Schizosaccharomyces pombe: one gene and its partners. The gene in region 3 interacts genetically with the main gene of each other region. Each region holds a gene or a part of one and is shown on either strand. Other genes may lie near its edges.

Region 1 (4,585 bases), 450 kb from region 3:
TATTTTTAAAAATAATGTTTCAGGAAATAGTGGAAGCTTTAGGTCTTAAGAGCTTGGTAGAAAGATTACACGATCCTAATTTAGTGCCTTACTTACATGGCTTGTTTCCAGTCGATGAAGCTCGTAACGTTCGTTTCTCTATCAATTACTTTACTTCTATTGGTTTGGGTGCATTAACTGAAGAAATGAGAGAGTACCTCCTTACCATGCCCAAAAGCGAGCCAAAGGAGCAAGATAGCGAAGGTTATAGCTCTGGATCCGAGACAGGATCAACATATAGTTCCTCTTATTCTTCCACATACTCACGTGGGAGATCATATTCTCGGTCAACTCGGTCATACTCGAAAAGCCGTTCTTATTCTCGCTCCCGCAGTGTAACCCCTATCAATAATATAAATCATAAAAAATACATTAGAAAAGATAGAGAATTATCTCCTCGTGGGAGAGAACGGTCATCAAACCGTAACTCTTATTCTGATCTTTCCAGGTCATCATCATTGTCAAGGGGTCGCTCACGCTCTTACACGCCGGAGGGAAGATTAATTGAATCTGAAGATAAGGGTTATCGTTCTCGTTCTTCTTCACCTGCTTCACGTAAGTATCGCTCGCGCCAACGTTATAGACGTTCATACGCTGGTTCTACAAGCAGAGGCAGGTCCTTTTCTCGCTCACCCTCCTACAGAAGAAGGTTGAGTATGTCATGTTCAGTTTCATACTCTAGATCTCCGTCTCCGCTGCACGCCCTATTTCTCGCTCTCCTGCTAGGAATAAAAGATCTTATGACTCTTTATCATACAACCGTCAATATTCACCAAAGGTATCTAGAAAAAGGTCTAATGAATCTAGGTCACCTTCACCTTACACTCTCCGGAAGCAAAAAACATACCACTTGAATAAGAGGAACGAAGACTTTGTTGTGAAGATGGATAAAAAAGGTTCTGAATCACCTGTCATATTGGCACCATGGTTGCGTGAGGTTGATGATGGCGAACTTTATAAAGACAGGAACAGTGAATCAGATAGTGTTCGTAAACAACCAAGGGCTGATTAAGAGTGATTAATGGTTCATCTTCAAAATGCAAATTGTTAAATGTGATGTCTTACTCTTGTCGTTTTTAAAAACCTAACGTTTGGAATTTTATCCATTGAACTTTTGCTTAACTCAAAATAGTTTTGTACCATAATGAATTATAATAAAAGTTGAGACACGCTATGAGTTTGTATAATTTCCTACTAAACTTTATTCGATTTCAATTCTGTAAGCATACGCTATTTGCATTATAGGTCTGAGACCATGATTGTTTGATGTGATATAATTCATAAGCCGTTGAAACAGTACTTAGTAGCTTGTTCATCAATATTGCAGATTGCAAAATAATTAGAGTTGGATGATAAATGATAATGAATTAAACAAGAATGTAAATTAGATCGTCGTAGCAACGGCCTCTTCATGTTAACAATTTCTAGTAAATGGCAATGCTCTATACGTTTAAATTGAAAATAACACCCCCATATCTCAGCCTTTTCTCATAATCTCCATAAAATAAAATAAAAATAAATATGAAAAAATCTCTAGATGTGTTTATGAAGTACCGCTAAGCAATAAATTAAAGGGAACGCTGTGCAAACACGTATTACATTGAAGGCTGTATATATATGTTTAGATTGAAAATATTAGTCATTACTATAGTAATTAAATTATTAAGACTGATTACTGTCACAAAAAGAGAACTATACATTCTTAATAGAACTCAACGTTTGTTTTGTGCCTCGTTATACTATATAATCTTAAAAAGTAAATATAAATACCTATATATTATTAAAAAATATATCTACCTGAATATTACTAAAGCCCAGATTCGGTGGCCACGTATTTAGCTTAGCAGCTTTCTAAAATTTATATATTTGCATTTCACTACAAACTTCTTCTATTTTTGTTGTTTTATTTTATTTATTTAAGGGGACACACGTTTCACAATTTTGAGCAAACAGCAAGCGCTAATATTGATTCTACTAGATATCAGAATTTTTGAAGCACTTGTTTGGGAACTGTTTTAGTGACTATTAATTGTTTAAACTATTATAGTGGTTCTATCTTGGAATTTAAATAGGGTCTCAATTAAAGAAGAATTGACGACGTTTCTATCTTGAATTTGATTTTTCAAGTGTCTTGGTCATTAAATTATCTTTGCCATACATCCAATGGAACAAAAAAATTTAAATATCAATCAGGCTTCAGGTTCAAAAATCAATACCGAATTAGCTGTTCCAATTTTTCAAAGCCGTCGGAGACATCGCCCCAGACAAGGACTGAAGCGTAAAAAAGGATTCAAACGAGATGATGACTCTGGAGGCAGCAGTGAATCATCAAATGAAGATATGCGGGACAATATTCCAATTGTTTCGGGAAGAAAAAAAACCGTTCGCTTAAATCGATTGCAAAGAGAATCCGAGCAATTCGAGAACTCTGCTTTGAAAGATATAAATGTTGAATATCAGTCAAATCTAAGCGCTACTGGTGAGTCCGTTAATACTACAACTGTTTCGGCTATCAACGAAGATACGAGAGAGGTCATTTTAGGTCGACCTTCTCCGAAGTTAGCTAATCAGTCTACTCTTCCTACTGAGTTATTCCAGTCACAAAACGATTACTCTAGATTTTTGCCTAAAAGGAAAGATTTTGAGAAAAAAAGCCAAGTAGGGCCAGTTTTATCTTCCAATGCTTCTACTGTCCGTATGAATACAATTATTGACTACCAACCCGATGTTTGTAAAGATTATAAGCTCACTGGGTATTGCGGTTATGGAGATACTTGTAAATTTTTGCATATGCGAGAGGATTACAAAGCTGGATGGCAACTTGATAGAGAATGGGATTCAGTCCAGGAAAAATACAAAAAAGGAGCTAAATTGGAAGAAGGGATGGTAAAAAATGAGAAAAAAGAGGATATACCTTTCGTCTGTTTAATTTGTAAAAAGGATTACCGAAGTCCTATTGCTACCACTTGTGGTCACCATTTTTGTGAACAGTGTGCCATAACTAGATATCGTAAAACACCGACATGCATCCAGTGTGGTGCAGATACTAAAGGTTTGTTTTCTGTTGACAAAAATTTTGATCGGCTTTTGAAAAATAGAAAATCAAAGAATGACGAGGCGGTCAAGCAAAAGGTTGGTGGTTTCGAAAGTAATAATTCCGCAACTACAGAAGTTTCGGAACGTAAAGATCGTGAAGCTTCATTTCAAGGGTTTGCAGATACGTTGGCAAAACCAAATACATCGGCTCAACAAAAAATGCCTAGTTTAGGTGATAATTCAAATACAATTATTTCAAAGTATTTTATAAGAGAGATTACTGAATCCAATATAGTCCATTTCAAACGCCTCGTTCGTGTCGTTTTAGAGGCTTCTTATAGTGACAAATTCTACCGCCTAGTTCTCAAAAATCCAGATTACGCCCGCATTGCAACATTCGAAGACAAATTCGTTGGAGCCATTAGCAGCCTTGTTGCAGAAGATAATTCACTTTACGTAACAGTCTTATGTGTTCTTGCCCCTTACAGATGTCTGGGAATTGGAAGCTTATTAATTGATCACGTCAAAAAAACTGCCATAAACAATAATATAGACAGAATTTCTCTTCATGTACAAACAACAAACGAATCAGTTATTAAATGGTATACTGCTCATGGATTTAAGATTGTTAAGCAAATCAATGATTTTTACCGAAGGCTAGAAAACAAATCAGCTTTTTATATGGTGTGCCCGTTAAGTGCTCATAATAATATAATTTCAAATCACTAAAATTCACTTATATGTTTATATTACAAAAGCGATGTCAAAGACAGTTTGTAAAATTGGTTTAAGCTTTTAATATTTGATTAGTCCACCTTTTGGCTTAAAATAAACAACAGAAATCCTCAAGCAATGAAAAAAGTATTGTCAAATATAGCGTAAAGATAAGTGTCACTAGATGTGAAACAAAAATATCTAGTTCAGTGTCATTAGTTAATGATAAAAAACTCTCAGTCCATTGATGAACTAGAAACATCCTGTTTAGTTGAATTCGAGCTTATTTCGTTAGACATGCTCCCACTTGGAAGATCCTCCGAGTCAGTATGACCTTTGAAGCTCGTTAAAGACTCCGAACTTTGGTTTTTCGCCGCTTTTAAATTTTCATTCATTTTTTTTGAAGATACTAGCGGTGCAACTTCCTGAAAACTTTTCAACAGTTTACGACGAGCACCCAGTGCCATGATGCCTCGATTTTGCAAATCGAGATCACTTAACGAAACCAAAGCATCCCAATCCGTATCCTTTAAATTATTGGTATACTTGTGTAGGCGCAAACTTCTGAGCCAGCTCGGAATATCTTGCGGAAGCTCATTACCAACATGCTTGTCTGTGTTTTTAGAATGTGAAATCGATTTTCTGGTTTTATTAGATCCCCGTGAGCTTCTACGGTATGTTTGGTTCTTTGAATTATTGGGTGGAGTCTCTATTTTTTCAACTGAACTAAACGGTTGATAAGTGTAAGGAAGGGTGCAAAGGTGCATTCCTACGGGTGTCGAGATATTAGAATTAG
Region 2 (4,353 bases), 1.1 Mb from region 3:
ATGAAAGTGTTTACTACCAACACAAGCTTAGGTTTTGCAAGCACAAGAAGGGCAGTCACAGCTTAAGCAAACGGTAAGGATCACCACACTAAGAGTTCCGCCTTTACCAAGTCAAAATGCCTGCTCAGGGACACAGATTGTACGTTAAAGCTAAACATCTCTCTTTTCAAAGAAGCAAACATGTTATCCACCCAGGAACTTCTTTGGTAAAGATTGAGGGATGTGATTCTAAGGAAGAAGCCCAATTTTACCTAGGCAAGCGTATTTGCTTCGTCTACAAAAGCAACAAGCCCGTTCGTGGATCCAAGATTCGTGTCATTTGGGGGTAAGTTTATTTTTGTAATTAAATTCTTGCGTTTCTTTGGAGAATATGAAGAAACGTTAATGCTATATTTTCACGGTCGTTTTTTGTTGGCTAAACGAATACATTCAAAACCTTTACTAATTACGTTTTAGAACTGTTAGTCGTCCTCATGGAAATTCTGGTGTTGTTCGTGCTCGTTTCACCCATAATCTTCCTCCCAAGACCTTTGGTGCCTCTCTCCGTGTCATGCTTTATCCCTCCAATGTTTAAATAAAATATTTTTATGTTCACAACAATTCTTCTGCTTCTTAGATTTATTTTATTTAGGGAATCCCATTTTATCGAAAGCCTCGTTTGTTATACAAAGTAATCAATGCTTTTGGTATTATTTACTCACTAGGAATTTGTAATTGGTACATTAAAACACAATTATTAATTTAAGTTTAATCAATATTGATGTTAAATAACAAAAGCTGTAAATTTGTATAGGTAACTTTTGAGAATCGTTTCACGAAGTATCATTTCAGTCGTCTGTTCTTAGGGTGTTGATGGGCAACACTGCATCAATTACTTAGGTATTGTAAATTCACTAGTTTGGCGTCTAACCTTTAGTACTGAATACTACCTTGTTTATGCAGGTAGTTCGATCGAATACTGTCGAGCATGTTTATAATCGGCTGTCGATCATACAAATCAAAAGCAAATCAATTATTAACCCCAACTATAATTATTTAAAAATAGTATAAAATAATAGCAAAATTATTATCAACGAAACAAAATCATCAAGCATTCTTTGTGAGAAAAAAAGGAGCGCAAGAAATAGTCCTAAATTGTAAAGATAAAACACATAGACGCTATTCAATTTAAACTCTTCCAACCTTGAGCCAAAAACGACTGTTTATAAGGTCTAAAAGCTTTTGAATTGTCAAGATCATCACTTAATACATAGCCCATACTTCGGGCTTGGATACTTCGACTATGTTCGTCTGCCTTTTTCAACATTTGGATCCATCTATTTTTCCGATCGACAAACGAAGAGGGTGAGGCTTCAAAGGAGGATTCTGAGCTAAGACTTGACGAAGGAGAATGATTTGTGAATATAGGAGAAGAATCAATATTTAATGGTAAACTTCCTGAGTGAATTTCCATAGCATCCACTTTGCTAGTAAAATCTTCATTTTCCTCGTCGCTCGGAATCGTGGTTGACATTTCAAGTGAATCGCCCGATTTGTTATTATTTATGTTGTTTGTGTCAAAATCGAATTCAAGTTCTTCATCAGATCTGAAAGTTAAAGTAGATAGATTTTCTATATCGTTTAACGAATCCGAAGACGCTTCATAGTCTGGGTTGTCAAGTTTGAACTGTTTGGAATACTGCATTGGCTGGTTAAAATACTTGCCGGGCTTGTCCGAAAAGGCAACTTGATATTCATCAGTAAAAGCAACATGCTTTTTTGGCTTCGATTTTCGACGTTGAGTAGACCGACTTTCGTCGATCATGGCATGGTCAGCATCAATGGCATCACTCGACTCCTTTGGTGATGCGATATTGCTATCATATATGGTTTTCACTTCCTTCTCTAGTGATTTCTCAATTGTCGAAGCATCTTCTAACAATTTAGTTTCGTAGGCTTCATAGTTGAGTTGCTGATTACGCATAAACGCAAGTAGTGATAAACGATTTGTTGATCTCTTTGACAACAAAAGTTCTTCGACTGTACGCTTAATTTCCTTGTTTACTAGTGAAGAAAATGAAGCCCGTATTTCATCTTCCCGAGGTTCAGCTCGCGCTTTAATTATGTCCATTCGAATGCCCAATTCTGAAATAGGAAAAGATGCTCTTACAGAAGAAAGAGAAATAGCTGAATCGTATATGTAAACTTTCACGTTTTCTTCTTGAAATAATTTCTGCGGTTCCTCGGATATTTCAATATTTCCCTGCACAGCAAGAATACATAAGTTGCAGCCTCGACAAGCAACAGCTGAACAATTTTCAGCTTTGCATATTTGCAATAAACTATAAATTTTCTATTGAATTAGTTATATTTGATTTCATTAAGGTTAGCGTACAATTTTTATGAGATCACGAGGAACAAATATCCATTGATGTTTGGTTTCATTAGGAATTCCTAAAACACGTATATTGAGACATTCACAACTTATTCCATCGCCAAATGGCGATTGCAATTGCATTAAATCTACTATGAAGATTTCGTCAACGCTCGAATCGCGTTGCTCAGTGAGATCGGCGTTGGCAAGAATTAGGTACGCCGTTGTCGATGTAATATAATTGATACAGTATTGTGCTATACTACATGCTTAATAACGCCGAAAAATCTAATTCTTGATAATTTATTTATAAATTTTATTAAATTCATATTATAATTTTTTCTTCATGAGAGAAGTCAAAGCCTTCACATACATAGGAACCTTTTCTAACTGACAGGTATTCATAGGCTTTGTGTGCTGTTTAATAAGTTCAATTTCAGTAGAAAATTTTCTCTTTAATTTTTCATTCTGTGTCATTACAACTAAGGTGGATTCAAGGTCCAACTGTTGAGACCTACTCGTATAATTGGAAGACCCAATCGTCGTTAAAAAAGGATGCTTGTGATGTTGTGTACTCAACCAAAATCCTAAAATAGTGTTAGTGAATTTTTCAAAGATATATGACTTAAGTGCCGTGCTCCAAAAAATATTTATAATGGAAAACGACAGACTGTAGTGTTTACCTTTAGCATGATATGTATTCCCCTTATTTTGCCATTGTAAGACATCAATATTTCTTTTCTTCTTTCTTGAATCTTTAAGAAATTGTTCAGCAATATACTGATACGCTGGTGGAATTAATTTCGATGGTCCAGGAGATCGATAAAATCCATTAGCCTGTTGAGAAGCCACGATTACTTCCCCTATACCTTCAGATTTCAACAACTGTTTTCTAAGTGCTGGATAAACATTAAAATAGCCAGCCGTTAAGGTCCAATTAACCTCCTTGCGCGATAGCAAGGTCCCGATTATAGACAAGACCTTTTCTTCAGTAGAATGTACGTCAGAAGTAAGGATAGGTACACATTGAAAAAGTGGGTATACGATAGCAGATTCTTCATATTTATGAAATGGCTTATTGTTGTCATCACCTGCTTGATTAATTAATTCAGAGCCATATACTGATGATAACGGTTTAGAAGGGTTGCGAGACAAGAATTTCTCTCGATTCCCCTGAAGAAGTTGTTGAATTTTAGCAGAAGCTGCTACCCGAAACTCTTGAGGATTTGTTAAAGGATTTGGACATGAATTGTTCCATTTCAAAGTAAAAGGAATAACCGGGGACGTAGAAGATAGTTGAATTGAGGAATCGGATAAATGAGGGATACACTCAAAAGAAAGCTGTGAAAACAAAAAATGCGTTTTAAAGAAAAAGTCCGCTAAACCCTTATCACTAAACAAATAATACCGGTCTTTTCGATTTGTAAAGTAATCTCTCGAAAGATTGGCTCTATTCGTTAGTATAGTAAATAATCATTTGCCTTTACCCGCTGATAATGAGGTTATCATCTGCACCATATATTTTCATATGCTGCAATCCCCATCCCTCATTAAATCTGTGTGGAACCAATTGCTTTCTTAGTCCACGCAAATTCGGTGTATGGTAAAGCTTGATTTCGCATCTATCAGGAAACTTCTTTTTCAATTGCATTAATAGAGATGCAGAGCAACAACCAGGGCTTTCCCTAGTACACCGCAATTGATCTGCCAGAATGTGAACATGCAAAGAGGGATTGTTGCTTAGCGCATTTGATAGACAATTGATCAATTCTCGCTCTTCTTTTCCAATGTATAGCGTTGATAGAAATATTCTTTTTTGAGCTTTTTTGATTAATTTTTTCAAGCGTTGATAAAACTCAGGAGGTTCATGAATGATATCAATATCATCAACGTTAACATAGAATTTGGGACACACACCGTCAATCTGAGATTCCAAGTTGACAAATATGTTTTTCTCTATTCCTTCATCCATTAGGCTGTTTAAATTGGTGTGCTAGGTT
Region 3 (5,323 bases):
TGAACAAAGTCCACGTCGTCTTCTCAATCACTATACCCACAGTATTTACTAGCCGATTTATTCGCTTCCCTCTTTAATTCTGCTGGAAAAGCCCATTTTCGGCTATGACTACTTTCGGATAAGGTTGCTGATGGTTATTGCATTTTAACATCTGGCGTTCACACCATTCAAGCATATGACGACGATAATCGAAGCACAAATGCCGCCCATTGTGTCAATCAGATCAACGACAAAAGCGCGGGACCGCTCGTAACGATCGTTAGTGCTTAAGACGGAGACAATTTCTATATAACGAAAGATTTTTAAACGTTAAAACCGTTGTCTCTTATACAGCCATCAATTATAGTGAATAAATGTGCTAGCAAACATTATATATATATATATATATTTATATATTCCATTACCGTGTTTACATGTCTTTCCCACATTTAATATAATTTATTTACTCACAAAAATGCATATTTTTAAATTCATCACCATATCAATCTTAGTATATAGGATTTTTTTACACATGTCATCCGATTGTAACAAAACTCACTCTCACAATATTAATCGCATCTACCGCTCTATCGTCATACAAAGTACCTTCTATCACACTACTTTTTTACAGCGACTTAACTAAGATTAAAACAAAAACATCAATCGATTAAATTTCGTTCGCGTAAAACTGAAAGCATTCCCTTCATTAAAGAGTTAAAAAAAAAAAATATTAAGTGTTTGTAAAATACACACGAAAATTTGAGTGAGACAAATGACCCAAACACTATTATAGAGGCATATATATAAAATATACATCATCACGTCGGTTAAAAAGCAACGGAATTATAATCACACAATTCGGGTAAAGTATCTTGTAAAAAGATAAAATGTTTTTATAACTTAACAAACAAAAGGGCAGATCGAAATTCTATAGAAATATGTGCAAGGTATATTGATACAGTTATCAACCAAAATTATAATTTAGTAGCAATCTTCAAAATAAAACTAGTGTTTCGCGTTTGCATAAGAAAACAAAGTATTAAACAAGGCTTCATATCGTCATTAATAGTATCATCTCCTAGCAATAAAAATTAATTGACTTTGATGGCCAAATCATAAAAATCTCACTAACAGCTAATTTAAAGCTTTATTATATAGTAATATACATCAGGAAGATTCAATTTGAAAATCAACCGCGTTAAAACAAACTTGCAGTAATCAAGCACAATCCTGCAGTCAAAGTCATCATCAAATTCTTGGAAACACTGAACAAATCACCAGCTGCTCCAGAGGTGGCGGATGTTGAACTAGACGCAGAAGCAGATGATGAAGCAGTTGAACTTGATGAGGTAGTTGTAGTAGTGTTGGTGGCATTAGTAGAAGTGGTGTTGGTTGAATCCAAGATAGATGTCTCTCTTCTCAAAGGATGAAGAGCAAGCTGTTTACCAGTTGGAGCAGTCTTGGGTTTTTCAGACAACGATCTCTTAGCCAAGCTCTCGCTATATTCGTTGGTAACACCAGTAAGGTTGTTGACCGAGTAGCCCATACGTCTGAAGACAGTACGCATAGCAGGACCGATGGGACCGTAAGCGACATCGGCTTGATCACTTCCATAAGCACACTCGATGTAGGATTCAAGAGTAGCGCCAGCAGTATAGAAAGCACGCATCAAAAAGTTGGGCTCACAATCATAATGATGAAGAGCTACATGAGACAAAGATGATCCAGATGAAAATGGAACATAGGAAGAATCCAAGTAAATAAAAGGTGAATAGGTGTCAATGCCTGCATCAGGGTAGATAACCAATCTACCGGGATTAATGGCCTTGCGGTAAGCTTCGTTAGCTTGGATATGGAACTGAGTAGTTGTATCATTCATCTGGGCAACAACACCGGCAATGGAGTCAGCCTTAAGGGTAAATGCAGCACCGACACTATGGAAAAATTCAGCAATGGTAGGTAATCCCTCATTAGGGTCGATAGAATAAAAAATATTCCTGTCAAAAGCATTCTCAATAACATCATGGAAAGCATACATAGTTTCTCCATTCATTTCACCAATAACATATGAGACAGTGGGTAAAAGAGCGTTCATATAAGGATCAGTGAGATTCTCATATCCGAATACACCCCATCCAGTTGAGAAACCAAGACCATGAGTTATTTCATGGAAAAGGACATAAGCCAAATCTACTGCTTCGTAGCCCATATCACCAGAGCCAAAGTAGAAATTAGCATCAGCGTTCAGGGCAATCGTAATATCGCTGTCAGCATATGAAGGAGGATCAGAAAGACCAAGTTGCTTAACTACAGCCTGAGGATAATAACGAGTTAAACCATCACTGCAAGCCATGGGAATTTCACGAGAAGGAGAAGCTTCACCGCCAATACTGCCTGCTACCATACCTTGACCCTGGGAACAAACAGACTCGCCAGTACAAGCACCAACAACGGTAACATCGATAACAATTGGGGTGTTAAGGTTAAGCACACGTGAGAATTGTTCACCCACGGAGTCAGCTACATCAATGTATTGCTGACATAACGTGTCATTGCTATGGCCATCAGAACCGAAATAGCAAGAAAAGTTAAAATCAAACATGTTCGTGGTTGAACGCTTGCTGAATGATTCCTTGTCAACGTTGACAATGGCGCCATCACGAGGGGCAAGGGGTAATAATTGGAAATCGGAAGGGTTCATATTTCCGTCAAAAGACCGCTTGTAGACACCTTCAGCATTAGGATCCAAGTCCCTTTTGTTAACAGTGGGAATACATTCCGATTCGAAACGAACCGACTCCAAAGTTCTCTTGTCGAAAGTAGTATCACGGCAGAAATACTGTGCAGAAACACCCTGAAGCATACTAGCACATTTCAAAATCAAAGCAGCCTTAACAAGAAGTGACATCGTGACTTCAAAAAAATTAACGAGAATAAAGAAAAAGAAAGGCGGGTATTAATTTCAATTCAAAAAAAAAGAACACAAAGGACTATAGAAAACACAAATAAAACAAGCGTTTTCAAAAATCAAGAAGAATAAAAAAACTCTAAAAAAGAAAAAAACCAAAAAAGTAAAAGTTAAGAAAAAATCTAATACAAAAGGAAGTAGTAATTAACTTCCAATTGTAAACGAATTGTATGAGCAAAAGAATGAAAACTCAACAACCGCTTTCAGTTAGAAAAGATCGTGTACAAATGATGTTGAAATCGATGACAGTCGAGGTTGTTTATATACTTTTGCGATTTAAAAACCGCCAGATAATTGAGGACTGGTAGAAAATCCAGCACATGACCTTGCGTAATGCAGCCAGCATTTTCATGCGATAGATGAACAAAAGTGCCGCTCTCTCACCACGTAAGATCCGCCAGCGCAGTGATTCATTTGCGCTAAATACTCAATAAAATGTAAGGAAGTAATGTTTTAACATGCTTAACCATAAAAAGCGAAGTATCGAGGGAATTTCCACTTGGTTTCGGTCCAAAAGTTAAAATATATCCGCAATTGGTGGAAAAAAATCCTCTTCCTTTATCAACCAAGTGCACCTCGGCTTGGCCAAAGCATAGTCAGTATCGATTTGCTACCAGCAAAGAGCAGTCACGGAAACCAAGAAAGAGGTTGGATAGTAGGTTGACCCTTGCAAATCCTTGAAGATGCGGACAGTTTAACTATCAGCTCGTTTAGTGGAATGGAAAATCAGCTGTTGTAAAGAGTCCACCGTGAACCAAAAAGTCAAGCGATATCTCGTAAGCATCGTAAAACAAGTCCGTGCGCAATCCTGCCACCTTCTACATTGCATTTAGTAGATAGAGATAATTGAAGCCTTTTTAATACAACGTTCATGAACTCAGTAAAACCAGTTTTCTTAAAAATTATGGTAAACTAGATGCGAAAGTCGGAAGAGTGAAACTCCATGCGCGCTTTCAAAATTAGCGATATTTTATTTTCAAGTGAAAAAAATGAGTAATGAAAGGCGCGACTAACTGAACGTGACTGCAGAAATTTTTAATTTCATACCGAAATCGTACATGGATGTAAATTTAGGGAAAGTCTCTTGATATTGACAAATGGTTAGCATTATAATCCAGAACAGTCTGCATCCCAAAATGACTAGACACAATGAAGGTTAATAACATTAGTCTACCAAGCCTACGGAGCAATCTCTCAATTCCCAAAAATAGACACAGTTTTAATTCTCCTTACTTATGATCGTTTTACAAACACCGAATTTTAATCAATAATCGTTGAATGCATGTTGCTCATTGTCAAACTTCTTCCGATTACTTGAACGTGGGAATCCTATCCAATTGACATTCGTCTTCCCAGAAAAAAATTTTGTAGGGAAGAATTGAATCATTGAAAGACACGTTTTTAAAACAATTGGAAATAAATTATGTTGTAATAGAAAAAAAACAAAGTTTATGCAACTTTTCGCACTTCGGTCACCAACGACGCTGGTTAACGAAAAACGGAACTAACTTAATTCCGTTCCTTTTGAAGGTTTTGCATCTAGAGACAAAGAATTGCAATATCGTGCATTTTAATTCTGTTTAATGATAAATGGTCGTCACAATTGCTTCTAATTAAGTTGACAGCTAGCTAGCTCAATTTGCTGGACGCTGGGAAAAGCAACTAACTATTGGAGTAGTTGATCGGTATCAGGGCGATTGACGACTAGCACACAGACGGAAACATGGATTTCGATCCGTTTTTGCGGAAGTACTCCCAAAACTAATATCCAGCACTGATGCTTAATGGAGAGCATTAAAGCATGATTCGTTCAGGTAATTGAAAAACGGTAATTTCAGGTGAAAAAAAAAATTTACTATCAGGACCTTTGCATTCTCAATAGGATAAATGAACATAGCTTTATCCGGCAATTCCTAAATTTGATCCATGTATATCAACGAATCTCCTTGAAACATGGTAATATAGGAAGCAACGAAGCTTTCATACAGAAGTGTCGTTTTATTCATTTAACAACGCTTAGGTTTTTCTATTGGTATATTCAACGATAATGCAAATGATTTAAAGCAAGCAAAAAATGATGCCTTTTTTTGACAGAGTTTTTTTGGTTTGAATAAACCGGAGTAGGCGAACAAAATTATTCACATAAATAAGACTGCAGAAATCACCAGATTTTCTTAAGCTACATTTTGTCTACGATCCACAAAGATTTCACCTTGAGTAAGAGTCAGAGAACATACTTGGAAAATGAGGTTGTGAATGGGAATTCAAAGGTATATATATATATGTATGTTTGTAACAGCTAGGCAAGTTATTTATAACAGGTACAGAAATATGTGTACCCGAATGCTCCTTCACAAAGACAAATCGAGTGGACAA
Region 4 (6,105 bases), on a different chromosome or scaffold from region 3:
GATTCGGGAACGTTGCCAAGAAACCTTTCATGAGCGCGAGCATCAACGATGTGAACGCCTGCGGCATCTGGACTTTCAATCACCTTTACAATGTCATCAAAGGAAGCAACCAGATCTTTGTTCAACTTAGCACCTTCGTAAACAACGGGCTTTGGAGTTCTAGGTTCTCCAGTTTCCAATTCAAGACCCTCAGTTTTCCATGCGTTAAACGCATTAGGAAATAAGAAAACATGCTCATGACCAAAGACTTTAAAGGTCCAGAAAACCCTAGGAGACGAAAAAAACCCTTTTCGGTCATAAATGATAACATTGGTCTAAAATATTAGTAAAATTGAAGACTAAGTAATTGGAATTTCTAAACTACTACTTACGTTTCTGTCAATTCCTAATTTTCCAACGTAAGAGGCGAATTCGTCAGCTGGAGGAAGCATATGAGGAAGGGGATTTTTGTGATCTTTAGCCTCATCTATATCAAAGTATTGAGCACCTGGAAGACGACTTTCTAAATACTCCTTCTTTCCGTTTTTAGTGTCTGTTGGCAAGTACCAAGTAGCATCCAAGAGAACGGTTTTTTGAGCATTATCCTTTAATTTTTGCAATACGCCCTTAATAGGCAAAATAAAAGAGATTTTTTTACCAACAGAGAACATTGTTTGAAGCAGAGTCTTATTTTGTTTCAGCGAACTACATAGACTTCGAATTTCAAGTAATCTTACGAAAGTACAGCGTTGGTTGCAGCTCCCAAAATTAATTAACGAGTCAAGTTTTTGGTAAAACCAAATATGTGTGTAAAAATGGTTAGATGCGGTTGCATTGCTTATATACAAATATTAATTTATATAAAATGAAAAAGTACTAGTAATAAGTTCGCCAATAAGCACCAAGACATCAAAATTTTTGAACCACTAGTTTTCTAATTAAAAGGTCTTTTCTGACACTGTCAACAAACATGACTCTAGCATTCTAATAACGTTGACAAAAGAACGTAGTAATTTATAGCTACAAAAAGGGTTGCACGGGTTGCACATACCACTAACTAAGCCGCTTTGAGTGTTCATACTTTTCTCAGCCAACTAGAAAGTTATTAACGCTAATTTTAGGTCTCAGGTAAAGCGAATTTGTCAAGTGCTTGCTTACAATAACATTAACACACTTTAACCAAGTACTTTAACAAAAGGGAAAAATGATCAAAGTAATTCCGACAGCCCTATCCTCAACATGGAATTGACATTTCCAATACTTTTCAAGCAAAGTAAACCCACCTAGTAATAAGGATAATTCCCATTCAAAAAATGAAATGATCGCGTGTCTATCAATAAATCCATAAATAAAGCTTAAATCATGAAAAACTTAATGTACAAAATAAAGGGAAATAATAATAAATAAATAAATGGGTACAAGATTGGGTCCGAAATTTTAATGGATACAGCTTACTCTAAGGCGAACTTCTTCTAATTAATTCATCGTCTCTGTTTTAGTCGGGCAAGAAGAGTGCTTGAAGTAATCGGACCTGATGGTTTAGAAGTACCAGGAACATTAGTAGATTGCTGCGGAGGTATAAGTTGACGAGGAGGTCGCCGAAAAGATGAAACTGCACGCAGAGCTTCATTAGCAACACGCGTCGCTTCTTTTTCAACCAATATGCTTTCAGTCTGGGAGGCTTCCATGATATCGTCGTGCTTTAAAGTACTCTGAATACCAGCACTAGCAAAAATATCATCAAGGACGGAATCATCCCCTAAAGTCGAATCAGAGTTTGTCTTAGTAACATTTGACTCTTGCGGTGGTTTATACTTTTCCATCGATGCAATCCCCATTTTTTCAAACACTTTGGAGCTGTTAACTTTTTTACCTTTGTCGTGAATTTTGTGCTTTTTTCGGTCACGAGCTGGAATATCTTCAGCTTCATTGCCATTTCTTGAGGAATTATCCTTTCGAAGTACTCGTTCAGATCCCAAAAACATGCTGCCTGTCTCAGTGCCCTCAGTCTTGTTATCGCCTAACGTAAACAAATCGTGCAAGTCCGTCATTTTAAAAAACCTTCTTTGTTTTGGATCTTTCAAAATTTTGTTAGTCAGAAACTGCTTAAAGATTTGACGATGATAAATTTTTTCTTCAATAGTTCCAGCAGTCATCAACCGATAAACTACTACATCTTTCTTTTGGCCCAGTCTCCAAGCACGTTCACGTGCTTGAGCATCCGTTGAGGGATTCCAATCAGGATCAAAAAGAATTACCCTGTCAGCACCAGTCAAATTGACTCCTAATCCACCAACACGAGTAGTTAGAAGAAACACATCAAAATACTCATTTTTATTAAAGTTGTCCACCAAATCTTGTCTTAAAGCAATAGATGTGCTACCATCCATGCGACAGTAATGAACATCCGGCAAATCCTTTAATCCTATTTCCAGTATGTCGAGCATTTGGCGAGTCTGAGAAAATAGAAGAGTTCTATGTCCTTGTTTTTTCCACAAAGTTAGTAATGCTCTAATAACCTTCAGTTTGCCAGACTTTTCAGGATCACCATAGTTGTAATCTTCTTTATGTAACAAGTACTCTCGAGTTACAAGATCTGGATGATTACAAATTTTTCGTAGTATATCAATTCCATAAAGCATTTGACGCTTTCCGTTCAAGATCTTTTGCATATCAGAGCCTTGCAAAAAATCTTGGTAAGCTTTCCTTTGTAAAGGAGTCAGCTTACAGAACAATACTTGTTCGGACTTCTTAGGTAAATCTGCAGCAACGTCAAGCTTCATTCTTCTAAGTAAATAAGGAGAAATTAAATCTCGAAGCATGCAGGCGCATTTATAAGCGGTTTGCACTTGAACATTTGAAGCATTGGCATAACCACCAATATTAATAGGTAAGGCAAATTGATTTTGAAATACCGGTAATGTACCCAATCTTCCAGGAAATACAAAATCAAATAAATTCCAAAGCTCGGTAAGGTTGTTCTGGATCGGAGTCCCTGAGAGGATAATCCTATTCACAGTACGGATTTGCTTACACGAAATAGATATTTCAGAATCTGGGTTTCGTATTTTGTGCCCTTCATCCAAAACACAATAACCCCATTCCCGTGGTAAAATCAAATCACCATATATCCTTAAACCAGCATATGTTGTAATTAAAATGTGGCCTCTAGTGAAGACACTTTCAACTAAGTTCTTAGCGTATCTGTGGAATGAACTTGAAGCACCTCTTAATTTTATGGAGGTTTTGCTTTCTTCCGCTTCACTTTCAGAAGCGTCAGATTCATACTGTCTCTTTTCGCGTGAAGCACGCTGTCCGCTGCCAGTAGCATGAAGAACAACAACACGTAATGGAGCCCACCATGTATGAAACTCATTAACCCACTGCTTCATTAAAGTCGCTGGACAAACGATAAGTGCAGGCTTTTGAAATTTGCCAGAGTGATGCAAAGACGAAAGGAAAGATACTATTTGAATAGTTTTTCCTAGTCCCATTTCATCACCAATGATTCCTCCGGCCTCTTGACAATAGAGTTCCCATAACCATTGTACGCAAGTGACTTGATAACGGAAAAGATGTGGGCGAATATCACCTGGGATGGTAAATCCACCCTCAAAAGTCTGTCCTTTTTTGGAAGGATGAGGTAGTAACCACTCATCTTTACCTTCAAACTCTCCTCTATCTTTATTGTTTTCAGATGCTGAGGCCTGATCTCGTAATTCCTTACGATTCGCACACCAAGCATTAAGCCTTTGTCGATATACCAAATCATCTCCATCATCTATAGCGGCAGTTACTACTTTCTCCGTAACAGCATCCACAGTTACGTACTCATCTTTTTCGTCTCTTGGAATAATCCCATGATCAATATTTGACGGCTCCGAACTCAAATGAGGTGCCGTTTCATAGTATGTTCCTTCAGACTTTATAACAGCCTCACGAATGCTAGATTCATCATCAAAATCAACTTCTTTTTGTAGTCCAGAGAGATTTCGAAACGGTGTAACCTTACCAGTACGGATGAGCTCTTGTCTTTCCAATTCTTCAGTCGAAAATGCACCTATACCAGGGGCATTTGCCGAATCTTCGTTATTAAGTCTTCTCTTAATATCATTTTCGTCTGATTGTAAACTTTGAAGAGTGTCTCGGAATTTAGATAATTGTTTGCGGAAGTTCTCCTTGACACTTATTTTTGTAAGTCGACTGTCTATACGCTCATCAAGGCGACGTATTTTTTCTTTTACAGAAGATATTTCTTTCCTGACTTTTTGAAGTCTCTTCTTTTCGATCTCTCGACTTTCATGTGCAATGTACTCACTAGCAGTATTCGTAACATCGCGTTCCAAATTCTCTTGGTCAACCGAAAAAACCCCTAAATGGGATAGATCTTCATTGACACTCATATCCTATCAATTTCTTAAATAAAGTCTCATTTTCAGACTCACTGCAAATTTAAGAAAATACTTTGTTGTTTGGTTAAGGGCAAAATTACATATTCCTTCATGCTGCTCCTGTTATAGCGAGAAGCAATGAACCACACAAAGCAATAACGAATAAATCCTTATTTCTAAATGACATTGTCAATGCTAGATAAACTCACGTTTCTGCGCGCGGATTGTATATTCGCAGACTTTTAAAGTAATGGAGGTGCAAAAGGGTTTAATTGAAGCTTTTTATAATACATATCCATTAGAAAAGGCAAAAGAACTGGATAAGAGTCCACTTTGTTCTGAATATGAATTATTCATCAAAGAATTATGGCCTTCGATTGTTGAGAGTTTTCATAACTCAACTGAGTTTGAAACGGCAATAAGATTTTGCTGTTATGAAACAGCAGTATGTGCTTTTTCCATAATGAAGTTTTCCTTAAGTTACTAATTGTTATTTTCGTGTAGCGCAAAAGTGAGATTGGATTGGAGGAGCGATTAAAATGTTTATTTGCGATTTTGGATCTCTTAGTAATAGGGAACGAAATTAACGAAAGCTTCTGTGATCACCTGTTGCCTTTTCTAATCTTGGAAGAGCTGATGGACATTCACACCGTCAACGAATGCGCCAAATTATATGAATATTTTGAAACCAGACCTAGCTTGATGAAAGGTATTGTCAGCAATCGTGGAAGAGGACCCGTTTTGCTTCGGATATCAAATGAATTACTCCGGCGTCTTTCTCGGCAAGAAAATTCATCTTTTTGTGGGCGGATCGATATTCTGCTAAGTAAGGCTTTCCCCCCTGAAGAACGGAGTGGAGCCAATTTACGTGGAGATTATAATACTGTTCATTCTTTTGGGAAGGTAGAACTGTCACCACCATCCACACCCATTTCGGACCGAACAGACCTCTCATATCACAAAAAACTTAATACCTTATTTACTGCTTATTGGGATTTGCAGTGTATGTGCTCCAACCCTCCTAAATTACTAGCAAGTGATACCTTACCTAAGTTTATAGATGCAGCTGGTTCTGCAATACAGGCATTCGAATCTATATTACAAAATACGTTCTTCAATGGGAAGTCAAACCCTACAATTGATCCAAACTCTAGCTCATTACTTTCTGAAAAATATATAACTTTGGATAAAGGATTTCCTTCTAAATATATATATTCTCGGTCGCTTTTTGAATACCAACTTTCAGATGAAGATTTCCGGTTACAGGCTATTTTACAATTAATTATTATTTTCGACTTTTTGCTTGACCATTCTAAAGAACGAATTGAAAGGAGAACTCTTGAAAAATGGACAAATAAGGCGGTAATTCCCATTGTTATTTTGTCTGACGAAGATGTATGTTCTTTTTTAGACTCGAAAAAAACTGATTTTATTGATTGCTAATATGTAGACCTCAAAGTTAAATGAATTATCCAAAGAAGCATATAGTTTCTTACATACTGCCCGGTGTGGTTCTGTGCAAAGAACCATTAAAGAAATTATACATATTGAGGGTAATTGGAAATTATGGAAAGGGCTTGGCTGCCCTTCCCTTGAAAAACCCCTAGTAGATAAAGCGGCTATTGATGAAGCTGTCGAAGGCTTAAAAAAGCTTACAAACACCCCAGTGAAATTAAGATTTGCTATGGGAAATGCTGCTTTGTCGAGGCTCTGGGAGCAGGCTGGAGAAAATACC

Evidence for each region.
Region 1: mutations in SPOM_SPBPB7E8.01 (region 3) and cwf24 together harm fitness more than expected from each alone (negative genetic interaction), as found in Schizosaccharomyces pombe (one large-scale study listed by BioGRID).
Region 2: mutations in SPOM_SPBPB7E8.01 (region 3) and toc1 together harm fitness more than expected from each alone (negative genetic interaction), as found in Schizosaccharomyces pombe (one large-scale study listed by BioGRID).
Region 4: mutations in SPOM_SPBPB7E8.01 (region 3) and rhp26 together harm fitness more than expected from each alone (negative genetic interaction), as found in Schizosaccharomyces pombe (one large-scale study listed by BioGRID).

The regions. Positions count from the first base shown.
Region 1 is NC_003423.3:3,039,600-3,044,184, forward strand, and holds cwf24 (zf-C3HC4 domain-containing and GCN5-like protein cwf24), read left to right. Parts: upstream 1-1,861; 5' UTR 1,862-2,202; coding exon 2,203-3,804; 3' UTR 3,805-3,925; downstream 3,926-4,585. Other genes in the region: vts1 (RNA hairpin-binding protein), read right to left, coding at 4,026-4,585. UniProt on the Schizosaccharomyces pombe protein: Involved in mRNA splicing.
Region 2 is NC_003423.3:2,401,725-2,406,077, reverse strand, and holds toc1 (Tor complex Tor2-interacting protein 1), read right to left. Parts: upstream 2,561-4,353; 5' UTR 2,498-2,560; coding exon 2,375-2,497; exon of another isoform or gene 2,333-2,374; coding exon 1,163-2,332; 3' UTR 746-1,162; downstream 1-745. Other genes in the region: rpl35A02 (60S ribosomal protein eL33), read left to right, coding at 117-325, 457-574; pgs1 (CDP-diacylglycerol--glycerol-3-phosphate 3-phosphatidyltransferase), read right to left, coding at 2,684-2,940, 3,037-3,803, 3,841-4,325. UniProt on the Schizosaccharomyces pombe protein: Component of TORC1, which regulates multiple cellular processes to control cell growth in response to environmental signals. Tor2 is essential for growth. Nutrient limitation and environmental stress signals cause inactivation of TORC1.
Region 3 is NC_003423.3:3,492,081-3,497,403, reverse strand, and holds SPOM_SPBPB7E8.01 (uncharacterized protein), read right to left. Parts: upstream 3,183-5,323; 5' UTR 2,888-3,182; coding exon 1,178-2,887; 3' UTR 627-1,177; downstream 1-626.
Region 4 is NC_003421.2:1,178,176-1,184,280, forward strand, and holds rhp26 (SNF2 family helicase Rhp26 ), read right to left. Parts: upstream 4,464-6,105; 5' UTR 4,383-4,463; coding exon 1,461-4,382; 3' UTR 757-1,460; downstream 1-756. Other genes in the region: thiosulfate sulfurtransferase Tum1, read right to left, coding at 1-314, 372-650; THO complex subunit Tho1, read left to right, coding at 4,621-4,815, 4,875-5,765, 5,821-6,105. UniProt on the Schizosaccharomyces pombe protein: Involved in transcription-coupled repair (TCR).